Linked DNA regions of Arabidopsis thaliana. The protein of the gene in region 2 interacts with the protein of the main gene of each other region in a pairwise test. Each region holds a gene or a part of one and is shown on either strand. Other genes may lie near its edges. The genes, in order: AT5G66830, AT3G57220, FZL and AT1G14670.

Region 1 (5,689 bases), on a different chromosome or scaffold from region 2:
TCAGCCTCCCTTCTCCTTCAGGTGGCGTTGCTCTCTCGTCCCCAAGAAAATCGCTTCTTTTATTTTTTTGTTTACTAAATCTTCACATAATCTTTTTAAAAAAAAAAGTCCTAAATTTCAGATGATTCGATGTTCTTTTCAGACATGGAGCGAAAAACCCTAGCGATTACGCCTCCTTCCTTCTTCTTCCACCTTGGGTAAATCCTTCTTCTTCTTTCTTCCTCACTTTATTTTATCTTTTCCCGATGATGGGTTCTTCGATTTTCACGAAAGTTTTAATTTTTTTACATCAAGTTCGAATCTTTTGTACTACTCTGCTTCTTCTATCACTTACTTGTTCTGGGTTTTAGTTCGATGTTTTCATAGAACAGTTTTAATTCAAGTTTCGCCTTTCGCTATCAATAGGAATAGTTCCTTCCTCTTTGTCTTTTTTCTGTTTATAGAACTATTTCTTGCTTCTGATTTCTTCAAATGACATTCTCTCTTTTGGGTACTATTCAAATTTTCATTTTGTTTTAACCCTTTTTCATTTTTGGGTGATTTTTTTTGTTTCCTAGAATGTTTATAGCTTTTTAAGTAGTTGGTGAATCCCCAAATTAATTTCATTGTTTGTTAAACCTCTCTTATGTGTTTGTGTTTATGTGTTAACAGAGGAGGAGCATTTGGTTCATCAAAGGCGTTTCATTGTCTTCTCCTTCTCTCATGTCTATTGCTTTCATCAGTCAATACATTGCATAACTTAGCTGAATATGGTTACAACACTGGTTCTGCTGCTATGGAGTTTCAGGGCTTTATTAATGGTGAAGATTCTGGGAGTGTAGCAATCCAGAAATCTGACCAGAATGTTTGTCCTAGTTCACAGCTGTTTTGTTTCCTTTCAGCTTTAGGATCAGAGAATCGGTCTGATCCATTTGTGTTGGCTTGTCCCAAAGAATCACGGAGTAGCTCTGCTCTGATCAGAAAAAATCTATCTGGTGTTGTGTGGCTATCTCTGAAGCCTGTCCACATCATAGAGTTTCAGCCATTTACTGGATTCTTTCACATTGGAGACACTTGTTACGAGCCTATGTCCAAAGAGCTCTATACTAAGAAGACCACAAGGGAGTTAAGTATTACGGTTTCAGGAAAACAATGTGGAGGAAATGGTTTTATGGTGAACCATCCATGTGAAGGATTTTCATTAGAACCAGGGGATTCCATAAAGTTTCTCTTTTTCTACCAGAGTGAACTCTCTTGGGCATCTGGAGTTGCTGTTTTTGCAGTACCTATGAAGGCGACCGCACCTGTTTTGATGCTTAGTCTCTACAAAAAACCGGTCTTTTGGGTGCGGACGAAGAAATTCGCAATTGCGGTTCTTATTGCTGCAGCTCTACTCATTCTGATATTTTGCTTCAATGATCACTTCATCGAGGAGAACAACAAGAGAAACAATAGCAACCACATGGAGTCGAGAGAAGTTGAGAAACCATCTACGATCACAATATCCCCTGAAATGGATTCTCTGCTAAGATCCATAAGCAAAGAAAGCCTGCAAGTGTTCGATGAGGTTCCCAAGAACAGCAGCAGCGTTAAGCCAGTTGCTTCTTCACACGAAGAAGAAGCATCAGAAGCTGTGAATCTCACTGTAAAGACAGCGAAAGACAAGAAGAGGCGCCGTAACAAGAAAAAGAAGAAAGGAGGAATCAACGGATTAACACCAGAGTGCACAGATGTTTCAAGCAGTTACAGCGGAAACTCAACTCCTAGGTCTCCAATATCACCAGAACCACCTACTACTCAAGCCGCAACGAAGCTAGTAAAGCCTCCTACTAAACCGGTCCTATCGCACTCAGCAACGTTTCCGGTTTCAGGGGTTAAGTCAATGATCATACAACGAAGCTCACTGGCTCCAAATGTGAGAGCACCTGGAGCGAAATCAAGAACCGAAGTGAAAGAAGAGAAAGCGAAAGAGTATAGGTACTATGATATCTGGGGAGATCACTTGACAGGGCTTAATTTGATGGATAAGTTAAAGGAAGTGAGAGAAGGTAAAAGCTCAGGTTTTGATGGAGAGGAGTGTGAGAGTTTCTTTGTTAAGGGTCCTCAGAACTTGTTAGCAGACTCTCACACCAGGTTTGTAAGTTTCTGTAACCAATGGGGCTAACAAAGAAATAAAGAATGAAAAACAAAAATATTTTATATAATAATGCAAGGCCCAATGGGCTTTCTGAGCAGCCACCAAGCCATTCCATTAGTGAGATATAAACACAAGCAACGTCAAACCTAAATAATGAATGTCACGTAGACAAGTTTCGACGTCTTTATAAACTTGAAGGGCTTGGTTAAGATTCCGTCCTATGGCCTCTCCGCTACTCCCTGGTCCACCGGATCAGAGAAGAAATCTCGATTGGTGCTGGTCGAAGCTTCCTTCAGATCTCATGCAATTTGTATTTGACCGCCTTGGTTTTGCCGATTTCCAACGTGCAAAATCCGTTTGTTCATCTTGGCTTTCAGTTTCGAGAAATTCTCAGCCAAACAATCAAATCCCTTGGATGATTCGATTCCCCAAGGACAACAATCACTGTCTCTTGTTCAATCCTGAAGAGGAAGACAAGATGTACAAAACTCCAAATCTCGGCAACGATTTCGCAAAGAGCTCTTGTATCGCCAGTTATGGAAGCTGGCTTTTGATGCAACCTGAATCAGAATACATGGAAGAAGACTTAGACCATCAATGTAATAATCTCTATATTCTTGATCTTCTAACCCGCGAGAGAATCAATCTACCGATTCTCCAACCAGAGTTTGGACTCACATGTCCGATATTATGGACCGATGAGAAAAGCAAAGATCACCTAGTTATTGGAATGGCTCATGAAGAATTAGCCATTTCTTTCAAGAAAGGAGATTCCTCGTGGAAACAAATCCCAACCTTGTCAGGTATCGAAGAGTGTTTTAGCATGGTTTTTAAGGATCACAAACTTTACTGTCTGAGCAATTATAAACTCAAGGTCTTCGATTTCTCTGGAGATATTCCGGTCAAAGTTTTCAAAACTAGCGTAAGTAAGTTGTTAAATAATCCACTATGTATTTCCATGAGAATGAGACTTCCTGGAATTCCAATGAAGGACCAGTTGAATCACTTCAAGGATGATATGGTAGTCACTCTAGCCGGACATGTCTTAATTGTTAAGTGCCATCGTCCGAGTCTGTCCAAGATATGGAGCTTTGAAATCTACAAGATGGAAGGGAACAACAACAAGTGGGAGAAAACTGTTTCTCTGGGAGACGAGACAATTCTTTTGGATTTGGGTATCACAGTGCTCGCCAAGGACATGCAAGGGATCAAGGCCAATTCCATCTACTTCTCCAATCCTACTCCTTATTTTAAAGATCAATATGACGAAAACGAAATCTTCATATTCGACCTCGATTCCAACACCGTTGAACAACCGCACCGATCTGTTTCCTCTTCCTTTCCCCGCTCTAGAGCCCGATGGTTCTTGCCATGTTTCAAACGAGAATCATACTTCCTTCAGTAATTTGTCTTTTTTTTAATGTATCTACGTATTCTTCATATCAAGTATTGCAACATTTAGTAATAAAGAATAAAGCCAACAAACGATACTTGCCATATAGAGTAATAATTAAGCCAAGAACACCATCCTTGATTACAAGGTAATAACTTTTGAGGACGGTCTCGGACCCTCAAGATGAGAGTGAAGGCAAAAAATCACACCCGTAAAAAAAAAAAAAAAAAAAAAAAAAAAAAAAAAAAGAGAAACGGATGATCAAGAGAATCATGAGCCTAGAAAACTTTCTTACGAATCACAGACAAGGGTTGAGAACCGATGATCAGGACGCTTTCCTATGGCCTTAGAACCTGGAAATTGTGTTGAAGTAAGTTTACTTGCAAAAGAGACAAGTACCAAGTTTGTATGATGATGAAAGATATTACTCACGAGGTACGGTGTGTTATCGATAATTTGGTCTGTGATTGTCTCCTTCTCTTCTGTTGTTTACCATGTACAAGTCCCTTGCCCCATGGTTGTAGCTACTATTGAAGTTGGAATGGTAGGTCTGATGGTTCATGTATGGCCCTTGAGTGACCTCACTCTGCCTGTATGTGTCTCCTTCTCTTCTGTGGCTTATCATCATATGCGAGAAGTGTTCCAAGTCCCTCACTCCCAGGTTGTAGCCACTGTTCGAGCTGACATGGGGGTTCTGGTATGGTCTCCTCTGATGAGTAACCGGCACAGTGTGTGTATTGACATGTGGGTTGAATGATGCTTGTCCCTGCGGAGCATTAGAGGCAGTTCTTCTGATGTAGAAAGCTGGTGGTGGTCTTTGGTTTGTTTGGTTTTGCTGTGTTGGATAAGTATAGGAGGCAGGTGGTGGTCTTTGGTTTGTTTGGTTTTGTTGTGTTGAATAAGTATAGGAGGCAGGTGGTGGTCGTTGGTTTGTTTGGTTTTGTTGTTCTGAATAAGTATAGGAATGATAAGGAGGAATATTTGGACGAGGAAGATGTGAATTGATAGGAGCGTACGAACGAGGAGCATGTGGTCGAGGAGCATATGTAGGAGGTGCATGTGAACGAGGAGCATGTGGTCGAGAAGTGTAGAAATTAGCGGGATTCATATCTGTCAACTGTGTTGGATGATTCTTATGGCCCTGTGAAGGATTTTGGTTTGGAAAAGCAACAAGTGAATGATTAGCGGGAGTGTTTTGTCTAAGCCTCTGGGTTAGATTCTCATCTTTCTCGTTTTTTCTTGTCTTTACTTGACAAGGCTTCTTCACATGACCAGGCTTTTGAAGTCTTCCATCTGGTAACAGAAACAGAAAGATCACTAAAAGAAACCTCTCATATATATATAAACACACCTCTATAACAAAGAAAACTAAATCATCTCTCACCTTTTAGTACATAGCCTGACTTAATTTTCCTTTCTCTCATAACCTTTCTTGCTGCGGCACCACGGTTATGCTTTTCGTTAAGAACTTTGACTCTGTCTTCTTCATTTGGCCATCGCTGGAATAAGAAATGGAGCAACCAACTGATAAGCATATGCAAACCGGCAAGACTCATGACTGAATATGAAAAAATAGAAAAGAAAACCCACCTGCCTCAAGGTCATTAACCTATAAAGATTTCGTCCTTTGACTAGTAATGGATACAAAGGTGGCAATTTCTGTGTCCCCTCACACCAGAGCACTTCAATCTATGATAAAGACACAAACCAGATAGTTAGAAGTTAGAAGAAACCAGGCAACAAGATCAGAGAATATAAAGATGATCAACAAACATTAGAGGTGAGACTTACAGTGAACGTGTGTTGTTGTTTAGCAGTACCATAGCTTTCTTTAACAACCTGGCCAGCGACAGTTCTTCTCCCCATAATATTTCCACTCTTTTTCATCTTTTCATACCTATTCAACCCCAAGATCATTGATTTAGGGAAACACAAAAAAAAAAAAAAAAGTGATAGGAGAAGTAAAAAGCATGAGTTTATTATAGAGAAGTTATTACTTGTGGTGAACCTTCTGTGTAAACAAAACAATGTCTCCTTTGCAGACATCACCTGCACCAATTTATAAGACTATCAAACTCTGCCAAACAAAACTTAGCATATCAAAAACTTTTAGTAATATTACCTTTACAATTGATAGCAAAGGATGATTTTGGATACACTGCTTCTCCAGTTCCATCTTT
Region 2 (6,951 bases):
TTGACGGTGAATCCCAAGCATCAGCGGTACCACCACAATCGCCTCCAGGCTTGGAAGCAACCCAGATGGAACTATAATATGAAACGTGTTTACAAAGGGTGGGATTTTTTAGAATGATTTATGAACAGTTTTGAACCTGAGCTCTGGTGTACATTTAGGAAAGTTTTCGTTTAGGTTATACACACAGATGATTCTACAGGTGAAGAGGAATGTCATATAGCAGGGGTTGTATCATACTTGATGATTCTATAACTTGGAATACAAAATCATTGTCTTCCAGATCGGACTACTAGTCTTCTTTTGTGCTCCTTTATCTTCATATGTACATGATTGATCCTCAGCATTACACACTTGTGGTTTTTCTTTCCTCTCGCTCTGTTTTGCTAGGTCCTTATCAATTAGGAAGGTTCTGCAATTACGTTTCCAGAACTCCTGTCATCAAGTATCAAATTATCTCTCTACCTTCCATTCTTCAGATTTATGGTTTTCCTGAAATGTGAAGTTTGGTTTCTCAACATCTTTAGCTTCTTATGAGTCACTCAGCTGATGTCACAAACAGCTTCATGTTGACTTAAACCTTACAGAAACTTAATGTTTCAGACTGAGAACATGAGCAATAATTTAGAAGAGAGTACTTAAGTCAAATTAGTAGCAACCAGGCATTGACAAGTACTGATAAGGTTGTGGACCATAACAACCAATAAGAACAACTTAAAAGAACTTATACATGTTGGACGTATGATTTAGTAGTTACTGCATTGTTTAAACTTTTCTTGTTAAAATCTTTCTTACACTTTGATACAAAAGAAAAAGATGGTCATATTCTTAAATACTTTATAGTTTGTGCCTTTTTCATGTGATACATAACTCTGAAATCTAAAATAAATTCTTATTACATACAGAAACTATTCAAGGTGGAGACATTTAGGAAACCGTACAACACACAGAAACCAGTCCACTTAACATTTTACCAAATTAATAAGTTTAATAATATCATCTCTAATCCAAATTTTGAACCGCCATGGTTTTTGTAAGCCTTGCGCCGTCAAAGTTTAGATATCCGCCATGGTTTGGGAATGCTGAAACGCCGTAAGAGAAGTTTCACGCTCAGACTCGTACCCTTTTTGGGTATACTTTCGGATGGCTGATTCTATGGATCTTGTTTTGCGAAGACGATGAGCCAAGCCAACGCCATGGTTTGTGCGCCGCCGCCGCCATATCTGCCGTGATTTGTGAATTAAACGCTGGGACAGAAGTTTGCTACTCGTAGCCTTCTTTTTGGGTATGATATCTGAGCTTTGATTCCAACCGTCGAGACTAAAGCATCCCGTAGTCTCATTGAAGGTTTCTTCTAACTACAGCTATGCGATCAAGGTTCTGACCACAGCGAGCCTTACAAAAGTCAATGTACCTTATGTAGACAGTTGCATTCTTAGCAGTGAGAGAGGACTCACTGGGTGGCTCCATAGTTTGAATGGCTACTGACACAATCCTCAAGCCGGAAAGATCATGATCCGTGGTGGTCCTATCAGATATGGCAACAGAAAGTTCCAGATACAGACGAATCCAGTCATTGGCTCGCAGCTCTGATTCATCATCCACCACGTAAAATCGGTTTCTGTTTTCGAAAGGGTTCTCCAGCGGGAACTCAGGCAAGCTACCCATGCGGTAGAATTCTCTTTCCAACGACGTTTTAATGATTGTCCCTAAAATATACAATGATGAATGAAATACTAGTTGTTGTAATAATAATAATGATGTGTTAATGAACACGCCTACCCAAGTAAGGAGTCACATGTAGTATAATAATAATTTAATTACCTGGACGACGTCTTTCAGCAATAAAGGAGGTCAAAACAAGCCGGCCACAAGCTTCTTCATAAACGGAAGTCTGAAAAGTAAAACGCCTTCCACTAGATGGCTGCATTGCAACCAAAGTAATGTAGAAACAGCAAGCACCAGCAGCCAGAGTCCTGTTGTATCTCTTAACGTGAGAGAGCTTTAAGTTTGTCCCCTGATAAATCAAAAACGAAATTTGAATAAAAAGAAGAGCAAGAGTGGATAAAGAAAGAGAAGAAAGGAAGACAAGAGTCTTACACTTTGATTAAAAAAAAGATAGTATAGTTAGTAATTGCCTAATTAATTTCACAAAGAGAGATGATAATCAAAGAAGTTAAATAAGTCTATGGGATGCATTCTTAATAGTAATCTTGTTAACTTCTTTCTTACATTATGAGTCTTTGATTATATAAAAAAAAAAGATATTAGTAATTTGCCTAATTTCACATGAATCCCATAGACTTATTTATTTCTTTATACTTTGCTTTTTTGGGCCTTTTTGATAATTCATAAATAAGTGGTGTTGATACGATGTCGTATTGTTGTGCGTGGGCAAGTTGTAATTAAATGCTACAGGCTTTGAAGCTTCAGCGAAAAGTGGAAGAAGCAAATCCAGAGGCGGGGAACCAGAAATAGCCAACGGATCCGCCATGACTGCTCGTAAGAGAACTCCTTCAGTGTCCAATTCGGAGAAACTAGCTCTACCTGAACCTGCATCTTCCCCGACGGTTCAGAAGACCTCTGTTTCCGGAGAGGATTTCCAGCTCGCGCCGCCGAAATTGGGCGTGATTTTCGTGATCTCTTCGCTTCTGTGTTCGCTTTATCTTTACCTTCTCTGTTTCCACTACAATGTTGACAATGAGCTCAAGCGTCCGATCCTCATTAACGCTGGGCTTAGCTTGGTTGGATTCTTTGTCACACTCAAGTTGATTCCTGTAGCTGCTAGATACGTTCTGAGGCGTAATATGTTTGGTTTTGATATCAACAAAAGAGGCACTCCTCAAGGAGAAGTTAGAGTGTATGTTTTTCCTTCTTAGATTTGTCTTTGTTTAGTTCTCAGATTAGTGTTCAGCGTTTTTCTAGAAATGGATGTCTCTTAGATTTGATTTTTTGTATAGGAGGAAAACTATGAGATGTCTCATTTTCTGATTGATGTTCTATGGATGTTTACGCTTGATTTGATCTCAGGGGACTTAAAGTCTTTTGATGTGCTTATTTTCAGCAATCTTATTTCTTTGTAGGCCTGAGTCATTGGGAATTGTTGTCGGTATTGTCTTCTTGATAGTGGCGATTGTATTTCAGTTCTTTAATTTCACTGAAGATTCGGTGGTAAGTGTCCTGGTCTCAAAAGCTCAAGCTTGATCATTTATTTATTGTGAACTATGAACTTGGTAGCTCTTGGCTCATTTACTTTGAATGCAATTTATCAATCTGGCTAAATGACTCGGTGCAGTGGCTTGTGGAGTATAATGCAGCACTGGCGTCTATTTGCTTCATGATATTGCTTGGATTTGTAGATGACGTCCTTGATGTGCCTTGGAGAGTGTAGGTGCAGTTCTCATTTTGTTGGATTAAAAATTCATGATTTAGTTTTGTTTTCTTATTAACTCTTGTCAATTTGCAGGAAACTTCTCTTGCCATCTTTTGCAACCCTTCCACTGTTGATGGCTTATGCTGGACATACAACTATCGTCATACCGAAACCTTTAGTTTCTTATATTGGCTTGGAAGTGTTTGATCTAGGTACAATTCATCTTGTATATAGTGTTAAACCATCAATAGCTATTTTGAAATTCATTTCCTTAGTTGTATATTTATCGTGGCAGGACGTATATATAAGTTATATATGGCGCTACTGGCTGTCTTTTGCACAAATTCTATTAACATTCACGCTGGTTTGAATGGCCTTGAAATCGGTCAAACCGTAGTTATTGCAGCTGCTGTAAGTTCTGCTGTCAAAATGCGTCGCAATGCTTCATTTTTTTGGTCCCATTTTTCCTTCTGTTGGTTTCTCGTAAGTAAAGTTATGATAAATCTCAGTAACTTGTAGATTCTGATACACAACGTTATGCAAATCGGAGCATCTGTTGATACTGAGTATCATCAAGCTCATGCCTTCTCAATCTATCTTACTCAGCCATTGATGGCAACATCCTTGGCAATGCTTGCCTACAATTGGTAATCTTTGGATCTTTCAAGTCATTTTCTCTTAAATCAATCAGGTAAACTAGCAAAGCAGAATGCTTTCTCTAACCACGTTCATGTCCCCTCTTTGGTGATGTTAGGTACCCTTCTGCAGTTTTTGTTGGAGACACTTACACAGTCTTTGCTGGAATGACTATGGCAGTTGTTGGCATTCTCGGTCACTTCAGGTATACTTCTAACCATACCGTCCTTATTGCAATGTACTTAGATTCATCATTTACATTTAACTTATGTGTGAGCCTTCAATTAACTAACTACTTATGAAACTTTGCTTTTTGCAGTGAAACCCTGTTAATCTTTTTTCTTCCTCAAGTGTTGAACTTTTTACTGTCACTTCCGCAGGTTTGATACCTTTCTCCATCTCACACTTTCTGTTACTTTTCAATACATTTGAAAGCATCTAACTTGCTATTGTATAACTCTTCAGCTTGCTGGCATTGTCAAATGTCCACGACATCGTCTCCCCAAGTAAGCTATTTTTTGTCCATTTTTCATAAGAGGCAAAGCCAACAAGTAAACAACACATGACTCTTCCTCTCTCTTTTTTAAACCAGGTATGATCCTGCTACGGGACTGTTAACAGGAACAAAAGATGGGACACTCGTGAACGTCTACTTGAGGATTTTTGGTAGGAAAACAGAAAAGTCTCTATGTATTCATCTTCTTGTTTTCCAGGTAAACTTGTTAATGCCCATATTATCATCTCTAAATACAAGTTGGTTTATTCTGAGAGAGAGAAATCACAAGATTGGTGTTTTGTGTGTTCTATTGCAGGCTCTTGCTTGCGCATTTTGTTTCATGCTTAGGCATTTTCTAGCTGGTTGGTACAAATAAATCTCTGCAACATGAAGAAACTCTAAACCTGTTCCTCTTTTCATCTCTCTCTCTGCCTTCACAAATCATACAAACACAGAACTTGTTTTGCTTCATGTCCAACAATCTACTAGAATCATCGTTTTAGTTCACTTATATAGAGAGTTTTCATCTAAAGGCGAGTGTATCTCAACAATATAAAGCCAATGAAATGAATCAGAACAAATTTGTCTTGGAATTTAAATTTAACTACAAATGCTGATCTTATTTTGATAACTTTGATTAATAAACTAAATAATTTTTAGATTAAAGTTTTGCTAATATAGCATGCATTAAATGAAGTGTCCATTTACATATATTTTTGAATTTTAAAAATGCGCTTTTAATATTAGACAGACTACTGTCGTACTAGAATAATAAAGAATGTAATAAAAAAATAGAAGGAGAATCGGAAAAGAAACCCACTTATAGAATGCCATGTGTCAAAACATAACAAGCGAAGTATGTTTATATAGTAAGAAAACTCTTTTGCCCTAAATATCCCAAATTGTCATATGTTCTTTCCTTATGTGGCTCTCTCTTCTCTTTCTCTTTCTCTTTCCTTTTTCTCTTTCGATCAACAAAACCACATCTCTGAACTGAACCAATTTCTCTTCTCCCCCTTCCGGTTATCGGATTACCAGATCTCGTTTCCCGCGATCTAGTTTATTCTTTGAAAAAGGTAAATGTTCAATTTTTTTATTTTATTCAAAATCTCCCCTGGATTCAGGAGATGATGATTTGAAATTGACGATGATGTTTGTGTGTAAAAGTGATAGAAGCAGAAATGGGAAGGGGCAAGATCGCGATTAAGAGGATCAATAACTCTACGAGCCGTCAGGTTACGTTCTCGAAGCGAAGGAATGGATTGTTGAAGAAAGCTAAGGAGCTTGCGATTCTCTGCGATGCTGAGGTTGGTGTCATCATCTTCTCCAGCACCGGTAGGCTCTACGATTTCTCCAGCTCCAGGTACCTTTTTTCTTTTCTCTTTGGTTGACTTTTTTTTTGGGTCTTGGTCCATCTAATTGGTTGATTGATTGATGTAGCAAATTCTAAATCTCGATTTTTTTTTTTCTTTCTTAAGTCGATTTCTTGTTAATTGTTTGCAAATTCAATTGCTTTAGAGAAGGAATCGTAGATCAACTTAGTCTGATAATTTGCAGAAGAAATCACTTGGTTTGAATGATAATATGTTTTGTAAGGGGAATATGAGAGTGTGTTCTCTGTGTTGTTGGAGATGATTACGATATTTGTGTGGAACATAGATTGTGAGGGACTTGTGGTGTTTATTGAAACATACTAAATTTGGTAGAAACTTTATCAGAAGAGGAAAGGAGGGGAGAAAGTGGTTAGTGGTTGAAGAAAACTCTAAACTCTAGAGAGGATTTAGAAAGAATCGTCTCCTTTTCACTGTTCATTTACTTTATTGGCAACTAGTTGGTGGGTTTGATGTACCTAAAATGAGCTGCATTATCTTCTCTTAATATATATTGTTAGTACACAAGTGGGGGAATCATTTCTGATTTCGTTGTCATCCATAATCAAGTTTTTGTTTTTTTAATTCTTCAACTTGGTCATTTGTTAATGATATGTAGGAGTATAGTCTTTCTTTTTGGGAACATTTTGCGATTTGTTAGAAAAATATTATATCTTCAATCCTTTCTGAATTTCTACTTTAGGAGTTCATTCATTTCTTTATTTGATTGTATCTTTCGTGTTTACATAATTGTTTATTAAAAAAGGTTGAATAAAATCTGGCTCTTAGATCTGTTTCAGAGGGAGAAAGCTTCCATTGTTCTGCAGAGCTTTTGTTGTTTCTCTGTTTTTTGAACTGAGACTCTGTTTTTTTCTTTTTTTCTCTTCAATAAAGACAGCAAGATATCTATACTGTTTACTGATTAGAGTTGGCTCTATTTACATCAATTTTGTCTGGCTTCTCTCATTCTCTGCTTAAACTTCATACATTATGTTAGATTTATTGCGAATCTGTAGTTGGGGTGCTGAGAATCCTGTTCCATGTAGACAGAGATGGCTTAGGGTTAACTAAATCTATTT
Region 3 (9,382 bases), on a different chromosome or scaffold from region 2:
TTCCAAGTCCACCACACTTTCACGGGACCTAAGTTACACTACCAACTTGCAACTGATTGCAAACTGATATGACCCATAAATAATATTAAATAAAAAGGTATTTGCTTCTGTATGGAAATTGATAAGAGTAAGTGCAGAATCAAACGAAAACAGTAACATGCTTACCAATCAATACTAGAATGGCCAAATGACCCCAAATCAGTTTCATGTCCAAATCCTTGAGATTGTGTTTCTTATATTGCAGCATCTCAAGATCATATTGACAGTTTCCTAATACTTGTTGGTACATTGAAACCAGATTCAAAGAAAAAAGAAGTACAACATACGAAGAACCGAGCTTTCTTCTTATGATTAATCTACACCTCAAATTGTAATGAATGATTAAAAACATGTATGCCTTGTAATAGAAAACTTATGGGAATACGAGCACGAATTAATGCTCGGGTTAGAGAGTGACTCCTTCTATAGTCCATAGGTTCTCAAAGAAGTAACAAATGTAGGGTCAGTTAAGGAACATAGACAATAAGCATGTCTCATACTAACATAGATGATAAGTAGTGATGTCTATTACAATTATTTAGTTAATGGAACAGTACACTAAAAAGCTACGGGTAGCAAAAGAAGTTTCCATTTCAAGTGAGAAAAACTTTTCAAAACTTCATGTGTTGTGAAAACAAAAGTTTTTTGGTAATGAAAACTCGACAAAGACCAGTTAAAAACGTGTGTAGTATAACTTACTGGTAAGTAAAGCTATAAGCAAGAATCTGTACCTTATTTTCTCTCTCTCTAGTGAGCCCTGACCATCCGAATTTCGCATTCGCCAATCGCTGTGTTTCCGTGTGTTTTCCCCCTTTTTGGTTTTAGATTTGCCTAAACCAATCAGAACAAGAGAAACCTGGAAACAAGAACCAAAAAAAGTGGGCTTTCTCTGCATCATCATTCCACTTCTGGTCCCCAACTGAAAAGGACAATCCAAAGCTAGATCCCTTCAAATTTTCCTTTTTGTTTTCGAAATTTTCGCAATTTTTAATATTATTTTGGAAGTCTATGTTTCTTTCTGATCTTTAGCAACAAAGGAAGGTGGAATCTGTTTCACGTTTACACAAAAACATGTCAACTGGAGATTTTCTCTTTCCCTAACTTTTGACCATACAGTATGGTCCATACTTAATATTCTCTCTTTGTTTTTAATAAAATAAAAGGTTTGGTTATCAAGCATATATGTCATTAGCTTAAAGCTATGACTTTGTTTAGAAAACTTAGGAGGACCATATGGCAAGCTTTTATACAGTGTTAGACTTCTAACGTTAATTCTAAACAATCTCCAGTATCAAGCATTAACAAGGTTTATTCTAGCACCTCTGGATTTTTAAAACTTCTCGAACCAATCCTTAACTAAAAAAGAAATTCAAGCGTTTTATCTTTAGAAATCACAGCTAGCATATGCTGAGAATTACTCTCCATGGAAACTTATACTAAGATTGTTTTTTTCCCTCATATTTAAGCCACTAAAGTCAAAAGATTAGTACATTGACAACTAAGTTTAGATGCTCTATGCGGAGAATCAATTTCATATGAATGTATCAAGCAATTCATGAACTCTAGGAGACCATAAAATCCAATTGACAGAAAAAATGAGTCAACTAACATATTTACCTGTGATATGAGGTACATGTGCAGGTCAAAGATCAGAAGAAAATTTTCTCCATGAGTCTCTTGAGCTTCCAACTCATCCAGCGATTTGTATCACAAACAATCTGAAAAAGAAGCTAAAAAACGTTATACCAAAGTTTCACGCCCATAATGCTATTGTTTGGTTCTTTCAAGAACCTCCCCAATCTTTTGAATTCGCATTCAAAAAAACCATCAGTGAGTCCATTTCAAGTCGGAACTGGCAGGTATTATTCATTATGACAAAGTACATACACTTGCCCCCCACTGAACAATGTCAAGAAGGGAAAACCCGACATTGTGTTGGAATAGCTAAAGTCTCATCTCGTCTCGTGATACATGAAGGTTATCAATATCAACTTGTAGCAACTGTAATTTACTTCTAATATCTGATAATTCTTTCTGGATTCCTAAAAGACGATCAAGTCTTAGCTGAGCTTCTTCTCGATAAGGCTTGGCAACAATATTCACAAAGTTAACTAGATTACTCGTCGCATCTGAAAGATCTTTTTGCATAGCGTCTTCGAGCTGTTGAGCCAACGCATCAGCCACTTTATTCACCTTACCAATTATAGCCTGTCTTCGATATGGGAAGTTTGCTATAGCCACATACCTGTCACATAGATTATGTTATGCATACAACCAGTCTTTCTTAAAAGTCATAAATATGCCTCTAGTTGCAAGAAAAAAATACACTAGGCGTGATCTAAGAAGGTGGAGTAATGAGACATTGGGAAGAGGGGAAATTTAGAGCAGTGTTATTACCCTCCAGCGGAGCAAAGGCCAAGAGCAAGAAGATCTTCCAGTGTGGTCGGTAGCACTGAGGTTAGAAGTGATGCAGACAGTCCTGCAGCTCCAAGCCCACCAACTGTCACAAAGAACTAGAAAAGGCAAGCAAAACTCAACTATGTCAAAAGTGTCACTTAGATTGATTCTTGAATAGCGAGACGAAGTATCTGGGAAAATACGGTACTGAATTAACATCTCCGTCAGATCATAGGTTCGGATTGAACAGATGACACAATTAAACAATGATGAAGATCAAGACACTTTAATCGACTGAATTCTAGTTAGAACTTAGACTAAAAGTATTTAATACTTGAAGCTCACCACTTCTCGAATATCTTGTTCCAATCGTTTTGATGTGGTTCCGGCACTCAAGTTCTGTATTGTTTTCAAGCTGACTTTATCAGTTTTCTGAAGTAAGTCATATGTGTCTATGCCCAATTGCGTTTTTGAATTGACATATGTTGGCCATTTGTTTTCGAATGATTTCAGAGACAGACTCCCTTCACGGGCAGTATTTGATTGTAGCCATTCAGCATATTTTCCAAGCAATTCCTGCAAACAGTGAAATGTAAAGTCAATCAGGTCACAACAAGACATTGTTAGACAATATTTACTTTCTGCATGAATAGTGACTATATCTCAGACCTCATATATATGACCAACATGTCCCCAGTTAGGCCAATACTCAAAGAATAAAGCATCACACTTACTTTCGCATTTGTGAGTGCTGGAGCGAGTATTTCACCTTGAACTTTGGATGTAGCTGCTACTGAGGCCGATTTTTCCCCTTTGAACACGTACGAGATCGCAAGATCAAGGCTTGATAGTCGCAGGGTAGTTCCTATCAGATCAACAACTTGTAATCTGGCATTATCAATCTGCGATAAAAGCCAGAGTACAAAACACAAAAAAGCCAAGTTAGAACAATCCAATTTCCTCCTTCGTGATTCAACAAGATAATATCTAATAGAATTTATACCAACGAGAGAGCCTGCCTTCTCCAAGAAATGCTCTCATATTCCATCTTAAGCGCGTATTCTTTAGTTCGACTGATAATCTTGTCTGCTGAAGCCAAGTCTTCCCTAGCAGCTAGGCAATCTTGTCTCACAAGAGCTTCCACAGAAGAAAGGAGACGCTCAGCAATCGCCATGGGTGTCTCCAATTTAAGCCTTATTCTCTCCATCCCGGTAGCTGTTGAGCTATCCAAGAAGCTATAAAGAAATTTCTCAAGTTCATTGAAGCTCTGGACTCTCCAATTAGAACCAGGATCTGCGATCTCAAGATCATCTCTGCCAACCAAAGAAGCTGTTGAAAGCTTCGCCTCAAGAGCAGACCGTGCGGACACCGGATACAATATCACATTTTCTGTATTAAGCAACTTCCGTGTATTCTCTTTAACAAATGAAATAGCTTCCTCAAGCTGCAGCAGTAAAATTAATCTTTAGTCAAGAAAAATCCAGCAATTACAGAGACTATCAAGGAAAAGACATAAATATTGTTTCTGATAAACCTCACGAGCATCACGATAGATATCAGATTTATTCAGAATAAACACAAATTTCTTTTTCCACTGCTGTGTGTACCGGAGAAACGCAACCTGACAAACGCAATGAGATGTAAATCAGCCTACAGTAAAATCAAGACAGCAGGAAGCTCCAGAGGTAGAGATAGAAATGACATGGGTATGATGACATTGAGAAGCTTATTCCTTCTTTTGAAACTTTTTCAGATTTTCAAAATAAGAACCAAATATTCATAAGGTTAGTACTTCGTAGATGATCATTTACATACAATTTGCCATGGACGTAAAATCAGTTTTGCTGTACCAATAACAACTCACCTCTCAAATGTATTGGCCTAAGCTTTACCAAAATATGGACCAACAGGACATACTGGTTCCAGCAATAGCTATAACACTCATTACTTTGAAAATAAATTAGTCTAGTTTAAATTTATAATCAACAAAACCTTGATATATGCATTCAACCTAGTGACAACTTTCCCTTCCCTACACAAGGTCTTGATGGTCTATACATGACTTAACTAACTACTTTCGTGAAAAATAGATCTAACAAGCTACTTAGGCAGATACATATTGAGCAAAAACAACAACAACTAACATGCCAAGTAAAACGGTAACTTCTACCTCACTTTCAGTTAAAGGGCGGTCAGCAGAAAGAACAAAAACAAGCAAATCTGCACGTGGAACAAATTCTTCTGTAAGACGCTGTTGCCTTTGAAGGATCACATTGGTCCCAGGTGTGTCAACAATATTTATCTGCTCGAAAGGAGAACAACCCAAATCAATTCCTCCAAATAATTAGTAAAAATTCAGGACTGCGATGGTAGAATTTTGAATTACTCACATCCTTAAGTATTGGTGCAGGAAGATAGCATACATATTGGCCATCTGGATGTGTTTGGCAACGTTGTTGCTCTTCGGATTCCAAGTCAGAGTAGCACAGAAACGTGATTTCATTGGTAGTGGGGACTACCCCTTCTTTCAGGTATCTCTTCCCAAGAAGTGCATTGATAACCGTTGATTTTCCAGAGTTAAATTCCCCCTAGTACCAGCAAATTGTGGATTCCAATTAATTATCCATACAAAAACTATTTTGAATCATAAAGGCAACTTGTCCCACTTAAAACATCTTCCAAGAACGGCATACTCACAAGTCACAAGAAAGCGAAAAAACTATGTACACAAGCAGATGGTACAGTTAAGAAATATGCAGTTCCCTTACAACCAGATCCATAAGCAAATTAAGAAGAGAAGCATAGACAGAACAAAAGAAGAAGCGAAACATCATAGTCATAGGCGACGAAAGAAGATATTGAGAAGCACTAAAGGACAAGTGACTAGAAGCATGCCCATTGTATCTCAAGCTATCTAGTGCTGGCAAAAGTGTGTAACTAAAATGTTTCTGGAATGAATATAGAGCTAATACCAATGCAAATTCCTGGAATCACAATTTGACGGAGTTGAGTGCAGAATTACCACTATAACCATCAGAAACGGCTCATCGATCCGAGAAACAGCATCAATTAGAAGGGAGACTTCCTCCATCTGTTAATGAAAAATAGTCGAAGAAGTAAATGAAACCATATTATAACCACACAAAAACCTACTTAGAACCATTTCAAAAAATTGACTTCAACTACCAAATGTTTGAAATAAAAATCACCAGTGGAGCCGCCTTGTGGATGATTTCAATCGTCTCTCTCAACACAGATTTCTCCATTTCTACTATTAGTTTCTGTTTGTCCTCTAATTTTATGAAGCCAGCAGAATTCTTTTTCTCCGGCAGTTCATTCATATTTTGTGTCTCATGATTATTTACAACATAAGCTCCATCAAGACTCTGGCGAAGAGCTACATCCCTAGAAGAACGCAAATCTTTCAACGAAATAACAAAACCAGAAACACCTGATTTCAGTAACTGCAATTCTTCTTTAGCTTCTTCATTGCCTCTGCAAGTCACATATATCGGTATTTTCACGCTCTTCAACAAAGAATCCGCCACTTGCGTATCTTCTTCACCAGATCCAAGTATAAGGAAATCAGCACCCTCGGAGCTTGAGGCAATTAGAGCAGAATCAACATCCTTCACAATCCGAGCTACCAGTGGAAGAAGTACCGAGTCGGGGTTGGATCCCATCAATGTGTTTCTCGCCACAATCGCCGGAAGACCTGTACATAGCATTGAGAGACAAAACTCACTCTATGAGAAATTAAATGCTAAAACTGAATGAAATCAGTTGTTACCTTCGTCGGAGAGAGCAACACCACTAGCACCAACGGCGGAGGCGATATCAACACGTTCAGCGATCAAGAGGTAAGCACGGCCTTTGACAAGTGATTTCAGCAAACAAGCCGCCTCGTAGAGCTTACCAGCGGTGGCTCCGCCATCAATCACGACGATTTGAACCGATTTAGCTAAAGCACGGTCGACCAAATCAAGAGTCTCTTCACGATTCCCGCTCATAACCTCGTCGGCGTCTAGCCGGAGAAGTAAACCGGGAACGGCGAGTTCGGGACGCTTGTAACCACCAGGATAAAGAGTTCGCGGCCTAGAAGAAGAAGTCTGATCGGCGGATTCATGCGAAATGTTTCTGATCGAGAGAGAAGAAAAACGCCTATGACGTGGAGGAGTAAAGGAGGATAACTTAAAGCACCGGCCAGGAAACGGTGGAGATGCGGCGGAGATAAGAAACGGTGACGTCACACATTGCCGGTGAGAGATTAGAGTTCTCATGGAGAGAGAAAGAGAGAGAGTGAGATACCTTCGTCTGTGTTTCTGATTAGTTTTCTTATCTCTTAAATATCCTATTGGCCCATCCCAAAGCTATAAGACGGACGGCGCGATTAATTACTTTTCAAACACATGAATTAACGTTTTCACATATGTGTTCATATCCAAAAGGTCCAAAGTATACCACGAAAAGGGAGAAAAACAGATTTAAATTCGTGAAATCCCTCTCCCACAATTAAATTTACTTCTTCCAAACAAAGACAAACGGCTTGAACCAGTCAAGTAAGTGATACGGCACCACTAGATGTTCCAGAGCCTCCATCTTTTTTAATACGAAGAAGATTTGTCCTTTGTGTGTATGAATTTAACAAGTTTTAATTATAGATTTGTGTGTGTATGAATTTAAAAACCTAGTACGTAGCATCAGGGAATGATATCATAGCTATTTTAGTTGAGCTTTCAAATAAGAGATGATCAAAATTTAGAACTTCTAAGAACATGAACGAATAAACAACTATTTTCTTTTCAAACCAACTAAGGTAGATGGTCACTGAAAGTATATACATCAGATAAAAGTTGCTTGTTATTCCAGATGAAGTTGGACCGAGAAAAAAAAAAGTTACTTGTTATTCAATATGTTTGGATCTTTGTCTTGCAGATTGCTATATAGGGTTGATAATGGGCTTCGTTGTAATGGGTATACAGTGTATAAGAATCGGCCTTGTGCAACCAATCCTAATATGTGTGTCTCATTAAGGTAAGTGCTTAAGATTAGAAGAGTAAAACACTTGACTTATCAACTATGTCAACTAAGGGTTCTATATTTTTATTAAATAAAAAATAATTGAATATTTTTTAGAATGATTTAATAAATTTAATGCTATTGTTTGATTTAAATGTATAATTCACCGCGAGAAGAAATTTTATAACTCAAATTTTAAAGTTTTAAGTTGTATTTGTTTATTTTGTTAAATGTTTAATATTGTATAATTGTATTTTGATTGTTGTTTCTCGGATTTCACCCGTAGTACATCATCCCATATTAATATCGAATCAAACCCGTCAATTCTAAAATTTCACCCGTGGTAGTATTTAATTGTATAATTATATTTTAATTGTCATTCTAAGATTTCACTCCTAATTCTATCGCAAATTATTATCAACCCAAACCAGTCAATTCTAAAATATCACCCGTAGTACACCATCCCATATTAATATCGAATCAAGCCCGTCAATTCTAGGATTTCACCCGTGGTAGTATTTAATTGTATAATTATATTTTAATTGTCATTCTAGGATTTCACTCCTAATTCTATCGCAAATTATTATCAACCCAAACCAGTCAATTCTAAAATATCACCCGTAGTACACCATCCCATATTAATATCGATTCAAACTCGTCAATTCTAGGATTTCGCTCGTGGTAGTATTTAATTGTATAATTATATTTTAATTGTCATTTTAACTCCTAGTTCTATCGCAAATTCTTATCAACCCAAACAGTCAATTCTAAAATTTCACCCGTAGTATAAAGTTTAAATATTTATAATATTTAAATTTCTTATAAAAGAATCAAAATGTGTTTTAAAAAAATTAAAGTTTTAAGTTTTTTTTTTTTAATATTGTTAATTTTGTTTAGTGTTTAAGATTATATAATTACATTATGATTGTCATTATATGTTTTTCTCCATAGCATACTATCCCATGTTATTATCCACTCAAACCTGTCACACCATATAACCCCGTCCCGTGAAATTAAACACAAATTTGTCATTTTATTATAAATTTCAAATATTTATAAAATTAGAAACTTCAAAAAAGATTAATATTGACCCAAACTTCATCATTGAATTTTGAGTGTTATATCTAAGATTTCTCTCGCAATATATCGTCCCGTATTAATATCTTTTATATTGTTTAAATTTCTTGTAAAATTTAATTTATAATTTTTTAAACTTTTTAAAGTTTCAATTTTTTAAAATAAATAACCCTAGGAAACAAACCATTTTAATTTAAAGATAAACTTTATAAAAAGTTTTTAAAATTATAATATTTAACTTTTGATAAAGTTATAATATTTATAATTTCTTGAAACATTTTAAAGTTTCAATTCTTTAAAATAATAAATCCGAGTAAAATCAGATAACTATTTTAATTTTGGACGCTTGATAAATCAAGCTTCCTGCTCATTCGTAATCAGAATCATTTTGGTCCTTTTATAATATGGGTCTGAACCATTGTCCAATTTTTCTAAGCGATGTGGGACATTGTACACATATTATTTCTTCATAGGTTGAATAATATATGTCCGTTTAAAAAACTTTGAATTACATCATATTCAGAAAAAAATATAATATTTTATTAACTATATATATTTTATATAAATTCAAAATAAATAAAGTATAAGATCAAATAAAAATGAAAGAAGAATTATATATTTATGTTTAAATTAGGTAGAAATATTTTAGGAAATTGGTTAAGGTAAATAAGAAATATGGTTAGTTTAGAGATATTGTTTATATTAAATCATTAATTTTCGTTTTTAATTATTAGTTTTTAGGTAACTTTTCCAAAAATTAATGTTATCCAATATCAGAACAGAATTAAACATGTTATCCAGGATCCGAACAGAGTTAAACCGGGTAAAACCCAACCATTTGAATTAATTG
Region 4 (7,559 bases), on a different chromosome or scaffold from region 2:
AAGATATTGTCTGACCGCTAAGAACGCTTTCAGCGATAATAACTCCACTGCAATTCACAAGAGACACACATGCAATGATCTTGTATCAATCAGGTATCGGCTAAAACATCGTCTGCAGTATTTTGTTTGTAAAATAACCAGTAAATTTTTGTTTTCGAATCTTGCCAGACAGTTCGTACCTGAGCATAAAAACTAGTGTATTTGCAATGTAAGCGGCCATTTCCCTACAAAAGTTATAGGGCAATCATAAAAATATAATATATACATGTAAAGATTTCCTTTGATTTGACGAAAAAAGAACACTGAGTTGTGAAATACCAGAAGTGATGCAGACTCTGGTGACTGTCCCCCTTAAAAGCTGTCCTTGCAAATGCAGCGAAAAACCTATTACAATTATGTTATGAACAATGGCTTTTTGACACATAACAACAGAAAGAAGGGATAATTTACCACGACTTACATCCCCAAAATCATGACAGTCAAAATTCCAGAAACCCCAGCCCACTCTTGAGCCTGTACATAGTAGAAATTTCTTAGGTTTCCTAGAGATTTAAGATTCTCCATTGGGGACTAAGTTATGTAGAAGAGAAGAGCATACAGTGTAATAGGCGAAATAGCTCGCTGAAAGTGTTACAGTGATCTGAGCCACCGTGTCATTGAATATGAATTTAAGCCAAAAAACTGATGCAATTCCAAAAGCTAGACCAATGCCTACACTAAAAAACCAGAACAACATAAGCGGAGAAAAGAAGACAGCGACATACAATACTACTAACAAAGGAAAATAATCCATACGCTCCGAATGAGTTTTGGACAAGAAATTTGATTATGGAACCCCAATCAGAGTTATGCCCCATCACCATCTTGAAGAATAATTGAAAAACCACAACCGATACCCTGAATAATCCAAACAACTAAGCTTGATCATATATGACATAACATCACCTTGATGCTAAACATAAGAGTTTGACATGGTTACCCATCGTTCATGAGAGATTCCCCATCAATTAACGTGGTCATCTTCTTACTAGCACCAAGCTCCTTTAGCAAAGCAACAACAGCCACGGGGTCGGTAGCTCCTAAAAGTCCTCCAAGCAACAATGATGTTTTCCAGTCCCAGTTATATGGAAAAGTAAGCTACAAGAGCATAACTCGAAAAAATTGTTAAGTTAATTGAAGCTCACTTAATCACAGTCGAAAATGTTGAAGCTAGTTAAAGTACCTTTATAAGAGCTCCGAGACAAAAGGTGGAAATCAGAACTCCAGGTCCAGCAAGCAGAACCATTTGTCCCATACATCTCTACCAATGATGTAAAACAATCAATACCAGGAACCAACACAGCCAAGGAAGTAGCTCAATCAGGAAAGTAAAAACCTTGATCTGGTGCACATCCATGGAGAATGAGCTCTCGAAAAGAAGAACAGGGAGAAAAACAGCCAAAAGTAGGTCAGGGTTGATACCATTCCCTGTAAAGTTGCCATTTTTTAGAGCTCGTAATCTAACAGTATGGAGAAGAGAAAATACAGTAGCTTACAGATACGAATTCCATGGCCGAGCTTCCCAAGGTTATGCTTAGTTCCATATTCTACAGAAGCAAAAAAATCCAAAATTTAACTACTTTCTAAAATCTTCCACGAAATTGAAACTGAGCTATAAAGCTTAATGAGCAAACAAATAAGACCTAGGGATCCGAGAAAAATGCCGATGACGAGAAGAACGACGGTGTACGGAACTCTAGTGCCGTTAAACAAATATCTACAAGCGGTGCCGAGAACCAGCGAAGTTCCCGCGAAAATAACAGCATCAACAGGACTCGAATCGTTCTCAGCTGAATACGAAGAAGATGCAATTGCTTTCTCCGGTGATTTGTACGGCAACGCCGCGCCGATTATACTCGTCATCTCCGGTAGAAAGAAGCAAACGATCAATCTTTCGTTTTGCCAGTGATTACGGTCAAAGATGCTTTTACCGAACCGAATCTGCTTCGTTTAAGAGTGAACCAAGATTGAATCTAGTCTGGTTTGGCTTGACCTGTTTTATTTCGGTTACGTCTGGTTTTCTATCACTAATTTGAACGAAAATTTGAGAAATCTTAATACGTTTTTGATTAGGTTTCTGTTTTCTTTGCTAGATATGAATGTAGTTACTGGATTATACTACTCTGTTCAAATGAAGGGTACATATATTTACATGAACCAAATTATGAAATAACAAAACCGACTCACTCTAGTCTCTAAACTTAACTAGTGTCACTTTTGTTTGTTTGTTTTGATCCATACTTCAATGTATCTTGTTCAAATTGTTTGATTTTATTTTTGGTATAAGTGGCTACATTGTAATTTCTTGCTGATTCAATCTATAAATCGAAAACCTTAAATTATCCATGCCTCAAAACGATGCACGTTGTGTATAAATGAGAATTTTAAATTGTTTAGTTTCTATAATTGCTGTCATGACGTGAGATCATGCAAAGCAATTACGTACGATAACGCACGTAAAGGAAAAATGATTATCAGATTCATATATTTTTTTTTTCAAAAACTTGGTCTCGTGTAACATCATTCGTCATTCTTCATATTCACTATACTATAACCACAAAAGATATTAAAAAAATAGTCACTCCACTCCACATCTAATACAAAGAAGTAATAATTTAACTATTCAAAATTTATGAAGTGTTAATACGATAAGATTTTCGACCCAAGGAAAAAAAACACTATAAGATACATAGGTTTGGCAGAACAATTAGTTCGCTCACTGCCTACATATTCTTTTTTTGGTTTAATTAGCCTACATATGGGAAAATGATTTGTATTTTGTTAAATGCCACTCACATTTGTTATAAATAATTAGTCTTGGTTTCAAAAGCCATATATTTATGAATTTATAGACATTGATATTTATTTTTATGGTTGGAAATGGTATAAAGTATTATTGACTATAGTTTTTTTATGTATTTTTCTTATGAAATAAAGTGAGAAAATAATAAAAATATTAAAATTTGTGTAGCTGACTCGAGTTTGATTGAAGTCTTTGGTATATAAATATTGTCGTTATTTCCTCCATTTTTCTCCCTCTTCTCCCAAATAAAAAAAGTTACTCAGATCTCACGATTTGAGCAGAATACGCAATGAGGACACCGACGACGATTCTCCTTCTTGTCGGAGCTATCCTCTTCTCCGGCGCCGGCTATGTCAGATCCGACGCCTCCGACCACCGTTACAAGGAAGGAGACACCGTTCCTCTCTACGCCAACAAGGTCGGCCCATTTCACAATCCAAGGTAAACGGAAACATCTATTCTAGATCTGAGCTTCAGATCTGAGGTTGTTTCCCATTCTTAAGCCTGAGGATGATAAATTGATCGTTTATTGTTGAATCTGTTGCTATTGAATTGAGTAACGACATTGATAACTGAGTACACTGCAAAATGCGTAATGTTAAAACCAAAGAGTGAAAGAAGAAACTACATTTGGAATGTTTTTCGTTTATGTGATGGATCTGTCTTAGATTTGAATACTATTATATGACTGATTTTGGTTTTGTTCAATGATGATTGCAGTGAGACGTATCGATATTTTGATCTTCCCTTCTGTATCCCAGGTATGCTTATATCTTTACTAGCTTAATCACACGATTTGTGTTTAAGCCGCAACTGATTTGTGTGACATCTCCTGATTCGATCATCCCATTATTGAATATGGTTTATAGAGGGTGTGAAAGAGAAGAAGGAAGCTCTTGGCGAGGTTCTAAACGGGGATCGGCTAGTTAGCGCTCCATACAAGCTCAACTTCAGAGATGAAAAAGAGTCTGAGGTATACTGCAACAAGAAGTTGAGTAAAGAAGAGGTCAAACAGTTCAGAAAAGCTGTTGAGAAGGACTACTACTTCCAGATGTACTATGATGATCTACCTATCTGGGGATTCATTGGAAAGGTTGACAAGGATATCAAATCTGATCCGAGTGAATTCAAATATTTCTTGTACAAGCACATTCAGTTTGAGATTCTATACAATAAGGACCGTGTGATCGAGATCAGTGCTAGAATGGATCCTCATTCGCTTGTGGATCTCACTGAGGATAAGGAAGTTGATGCAGAGTTTATGTACACTGTGAAGTGGAAGGAAACTGAGACTCCTTTTGAGAAAAGAATGGAGAAGTACTCTATGTCTTCTTCTCTTCCACATCATTTGGAAATCCACTGGTTCTCCATTATTAACTCCTGTGTCACTGTCCTTCTTTTGACTGGATTCCTTGCAACTATCTTGATGCGAGTCCTCAAGAACGATTTCATGAAGTAAGTTTCAAGTTTCCTCACTGTCGACTGTTTTACACTTGTCTATCTCATCTAACCTTATTCCAATGCTTAAAAGGTATGCTCAAGATGAGGAAGCTGCTGATGATCAAGAGGAAACTGGATGGAAGTACATTCATGGCGATGTGTTTCGGTTCCCTACTCACAATTCTTTATTTGCTGCATCGCTCGGTAGTGGCACTCAATTGTTCACGCTGTAAGTCTCTCATAACTCGAATACTTTCCATCTGGATACACTTTCATCCATATCCGCATTTCTTCTTACTGTAACTAACTGTAGCTTTTCCTTTTATTCCATGTCATCAGCACCATATTTATTTTCATGCTTGCTCTTGTTGGAGTGTTCTACCCATACAACCGAGGAGCACTCTTTACCGCTTTGGTGGTCATTTACGCTCTCACTTCTGGAATTGCCGGATACACATCTGCCTCTTTCTACTGTCAACTTGAAGGAAAAAGCTGGGTAAATATTTACACATGATGAGAATCATCCCTGTCTCTCAAAAAATCATCTTCAACTGAAATAAACAACTTCTCCCTTTTTTGACATTATTGCAGGTGAGGAACTTGTTACTCACTGGATGTCTCTTCTGTGGCCCATTATTCCTAACCTTTTGCTTCCTTAACACCGTAGCCATCACCTACACTGCAACCGCTGCATTACCCTTTGGAACCATTGTGGTGATCGTCCTTATATGGACTCTAGTTACCTCACCTTTACTCGTTTTGGGTGGTATCGCGGGTAAAAACAGCAAAGCAGAGTTCCAAGCACCATGCCGTACAACCAAATATCCTCGTGAGATTCCACCACTCCCTTGGTACAGAAGTGCTATTCCTCAGATGGCCATGGCTGGTTTTCTTCCTTTCAGTGCCATCTACATCGAGCTTTACTACATTTTCGCTAGTGTCTGGGGTCACCGGATCTACACCATCTACAGCATCTTATTCATCGTTTTCATCATTCTCATCATCGTCACTGCTTTTATAACCGTTGCCTTGACTTACTTCCAACTCGCTGCTGAAGATCACCAATGGTGGTGGAGGTTCGTTAAACTCAGCTAATCGTCTCTATTCTTTTCTCTCTGACCATGAGAACTTGAGTCTGATTCTACAAATTTCTATTGCAGATCATTCCTATGTGGTGGATCGACCGGTTTGTTTATCTACGCATACTGCTTATACTATTACTACGCACGATCAGACATGTCGGGTTTTATGCAAACCTCGTTTTTCTTCGGATACATGGCTTGCATTTGCTACGGATTCTTCTTAATGCTCGGAACAGTTGGCTTCCGCGCAGCCCTCCTCTTTGTCCGTCACATTTACCGGTCGATCAAATGCGAGTAAGAAGGTCTGTACACCAATCTTCTTATGTTGATTTCCTTCTTCTTCTTCTGCCTTCTTACGAATTTTGCTTAGAACAAAGAAGATAAAGAGATAGGTTGTTAGAAAGAAGAGAGACACAAAGACAATGTCTGATTATTTTCTAAAGAAGCATCTCTTCTCATTAGAGGTTTTAGCGAGAGTCTCTCTTCTTCTCTCTTTATTTTGGGCTACAGAAATTAAATTACTTGTATCCTTTCTATATATTTTACCTATTGTAAAAGACTATCAATACCTTTGAATTCGAGTTTCTTTGTATCTAATAAATTTCAAAACACACATATTTTCTCCTTCATATATATCTTCAGTCTATACTGCACAATAAAAATAATAATTTGAAGATGTAACTAAATAAATATTGGAGAGCTAAATTGAAGTAAATTGCATATTTTTGTACTTGTTTGGATCCAATTGAAAGATCCAAGGTTGATACCACCGACATACAAGGACATAGTGTTAGCTCTTTAATGGGCCAAAATCTCGGCCCAACTATAAATGGTTTCATTGACCAATAATTAGTGCCACTGATTTCAATTTTGAAATTCGAATCCTCCTCCTTTGGAATTCAGAAACCCTAGAGTTCTTCAGCGAGCGAACTCTGTCTGCGATTTCTTGTTGATTCTAAATGGATCTCTCGCGAGAAGTCGATGACTTTATCAAAGAGACAATCGATCACTCTTTAGGGCTTCCGATATCCATGGACGTTCTCCAGAAAAAGCTCTACACGGCGGAAGAATCTCAGCGTCGTCTCCGTGAACAGTATCTATCTCTGGTTTCGAGATTGAAAGAGAAAGAAAAAGTAATCGATCTCGTTAGATCCGAAGCGAGTATGAATGCCCAGTCGCTGAAGAAATTCGTCGAAGAGAATCAGAAATTGGGAAGCGAGCGCGAGGATTTGGTGAATCAGTGTAAGAAGTGGGAAAAAGAATGCTTTCTTTATCATCAAGATCGTGAATCACTCATGGAGTTCGGGAACGAAACTGACGAAAGGGCTAGAGAAGCAGAATCTAGGGTTCGTGAATTGGAGGAAGAAGTTAGAAAAATGTCTGATGAAATCAAGAGCCGGATCGAATCTGAAGAAGATTGTTTGGTTGATTCAATATTGGCATCGTTCGTTAGTAAAGATGAGAGTATATCATTGGGGCGTATCTTCTTGGAGGCTAATAGTGAAGAAGACAAATGTTGTGAAACTTTGTTGAGGAAATGGGATCAGTTAAAGCCAACGACGCAAAAGTTTGTGTCTTTAGTGTCAATGGTGAAGAGAATTGAAAAGGAGAAAGAATGTCTCATTATGAATCTTGCTAAAGCAGAGCAAGAAGTTGAACTTGTGAGCGAGCAAAACAGAGAGCTGGATAGAGAAAACCGCAAGTTTTTGAGGCAATGTTCTGCAGAGAGAAGCCATGGATCTAACAAGTTCAACAAGAGAAAGAGTATCAAGATGATGAGTAGTCCGATTGAGAAGAGGATTGAATTGAGCAGCCAAGAATTTATCGATTGATGAAGTTTAGATCCAATGCTGATGAGTGGTTTTGTTTGAATCTCTTTTGGTAATTATTATGAATATGAATGAGCAGTTCTGGCTATTGTTTAGATTGGTAGAGAAAACAGTAATGGAATGTTTGTGAGGGACAAGCTCTGACTATAAGCACAATGCAATATGTATAAAATATGAGACTTGGAACATTCTCTCTCACATTGGAAACACTGAATTTTAAAAATTATACATTTCCATAATGGTCTACCTCTACCACTAGTATAATTCATTTGACCATTAGTGTGCTAACCAATGTGGTTGTGTTTTTACCATCTGTTTTGTACAATATAAGTCTCTAATTGGCTTCTTCATCATCTTCTTTGTTTC

What was found.
Region 1: the proteins of AT3G57220 (region 2) and AT5G66830 interact in a protein complementation assay, tested with the Arabidopsis thaliana proteins (one large-scale study listed by BioGRID).
Region 3: the proteins of AT3G57220 (region 2) and FZL interact in a protein complementation assay, tested with the Arabidopsis thaliana proteins (one large-scale study listed by BioGRID).
Region 4: the proteins of AT3G57220 (region 2) and AT1G14670 interact in a protein complementation assay, tested with the Arabidopsis thaliana proteins (one large-scale study listed by BioGRID).

The regions. Positions count from the first base shown.
Region 1 is NC_003076.8:26,688,968-26,694,656, forward strand, and holds AT5G66830 (F-box protein (DUF295)), read left to right. Parts: upstream 1-2,285; 5' UTR 2,286-2,336; coding exon 2,337-3,521; 3' UTR 3,522-3,722; downstream 3,723-5,689. Other genes in the region: AT5G66820 (uncharacterized protein), read left to right, coding at 130-197, 652-2,143; AT5G66840 (SAP domain-containing protein), read right to left, coding at 3,955-4,802, 4,894-5,008, 5,100-5,198, 5,301-5,406, 5,507-5,558, 5,632-5,689.
Region 2 is NC_003074.8:21,172,027-21,178,977, forward strand, and holds AT3G57220 (Glycosyl transferase family 4 protein), read left to right. Parts: upstream 1-2,368; 5' UTR 2,369-2,489; coding exon 2,490-2,857; intron 2,858-3,080; coding exon 3,081-3,168; intron 3,169-3,292; coding exon 3,293-3,384; intron 3,385-3,463; coding exon 3,464-3,582; intron 3,583-3,665; coding exon 3,666-3,781; intron 3,782-3,889; coding exon 3,890-4,017; intron 4,018-4,124; coding exon 4,125-4,211; intron 4,212-4,325; coding exon 4,326-4,386; intron 4,387-4,471; coding exon 4,472-4,512; intron 4,513-4,598; coding exon 4,599-4,719; intron 4,720-4,818; coding exon 4,819-4,878; 3' UTR 4,879-5,168; downstream 5,169-6,951. Other genes in the region: AT3G57200 (glycosyltransferase-like protein), read left to right, coding at 1-77; AT3G57210 (uncharacterized protein), read right to left, coding at 1,336-1,706, 1,822-1,927; AGL16 (AGAMOUS-like 16), read left to right, coding at 5,684-5,865.
Region 3 is NC_003070.9:758,655-768,036, reverse strand, and holds FZL (FZO-like protein), read right to left. Parts: upstream 6,777-9,382; 5' UTR 6,717-6,776; coding exon 6,227-6,716; intron 6,152-6,226; coding exon 5,646-6,151; intron 5,528-5,645; coding exon 5,459-5,527; intron 5,025-5,458; coding exon 4,827-5,024; intron 4,739-4,826; coding exon 4,607-4,738; intron 4,058-4,606; coding exon 3,971-4,057; intron 3,881-3,970; coding exon 3,440-3,880; intron 3,339-3,439; coding exon 3,171-3,338; coding exon of another isoform or gene 3,106-3,170; intron 3,013-3,105; coding exon 2,782-3,012; intron 2,553-2,781; coding exon 2,437-2,552; intron 2,285-2,436; coding exon 1,984-2,284; 3' UTR 1,843-1,983; downstream 1-1,842. Other genes in the region: AT1G03165 (uncharacterized protein), read right to left, coding at 713-895, 1,657-1,674. UniProt on the Arabidopsis thaliana protein: Probable membrane-remodeling GTPase that plays a unique role in the in the determination of thylakoid and chloroplast morphology and regulates organization of the thylakoid network.
Region 4 is NC_003070.9:5,034,538-5,042,096, forward strand, and holds AT1G14670 (Endomembrane protein 70 protein family), read left to right. Parts: upstream 1-3,038; 5' UTR 3,039-3,131; coding exon 3,132-3,283; intron 3,284-3,562; coding exon 3,563-3,603; intron 3,604-3,711; coding exon 3,712-4,297; intron 4,298-4,373; coding exon 4,374-4,511; intron 4,512-4,621; coding exon 4,622-4,778; intron 4,779-4,873; coding exon 4,874-5,358; intron 5,359-5,442; coding exon 5,443-5,662; 3' UTR 5,663-6,060; downstream 6,061-7,559. Other genes in the region: NHX8 (Na+/H+ exchanger 8), read right to left, coding at 1-47, 180-224, 319-384, 461-513, 599-716, 796-897, 980-1,137, 1,223-1,300 and 3 more; AT1G14680 (early endosome antigen), read left to right, coding at 6,324-7,196.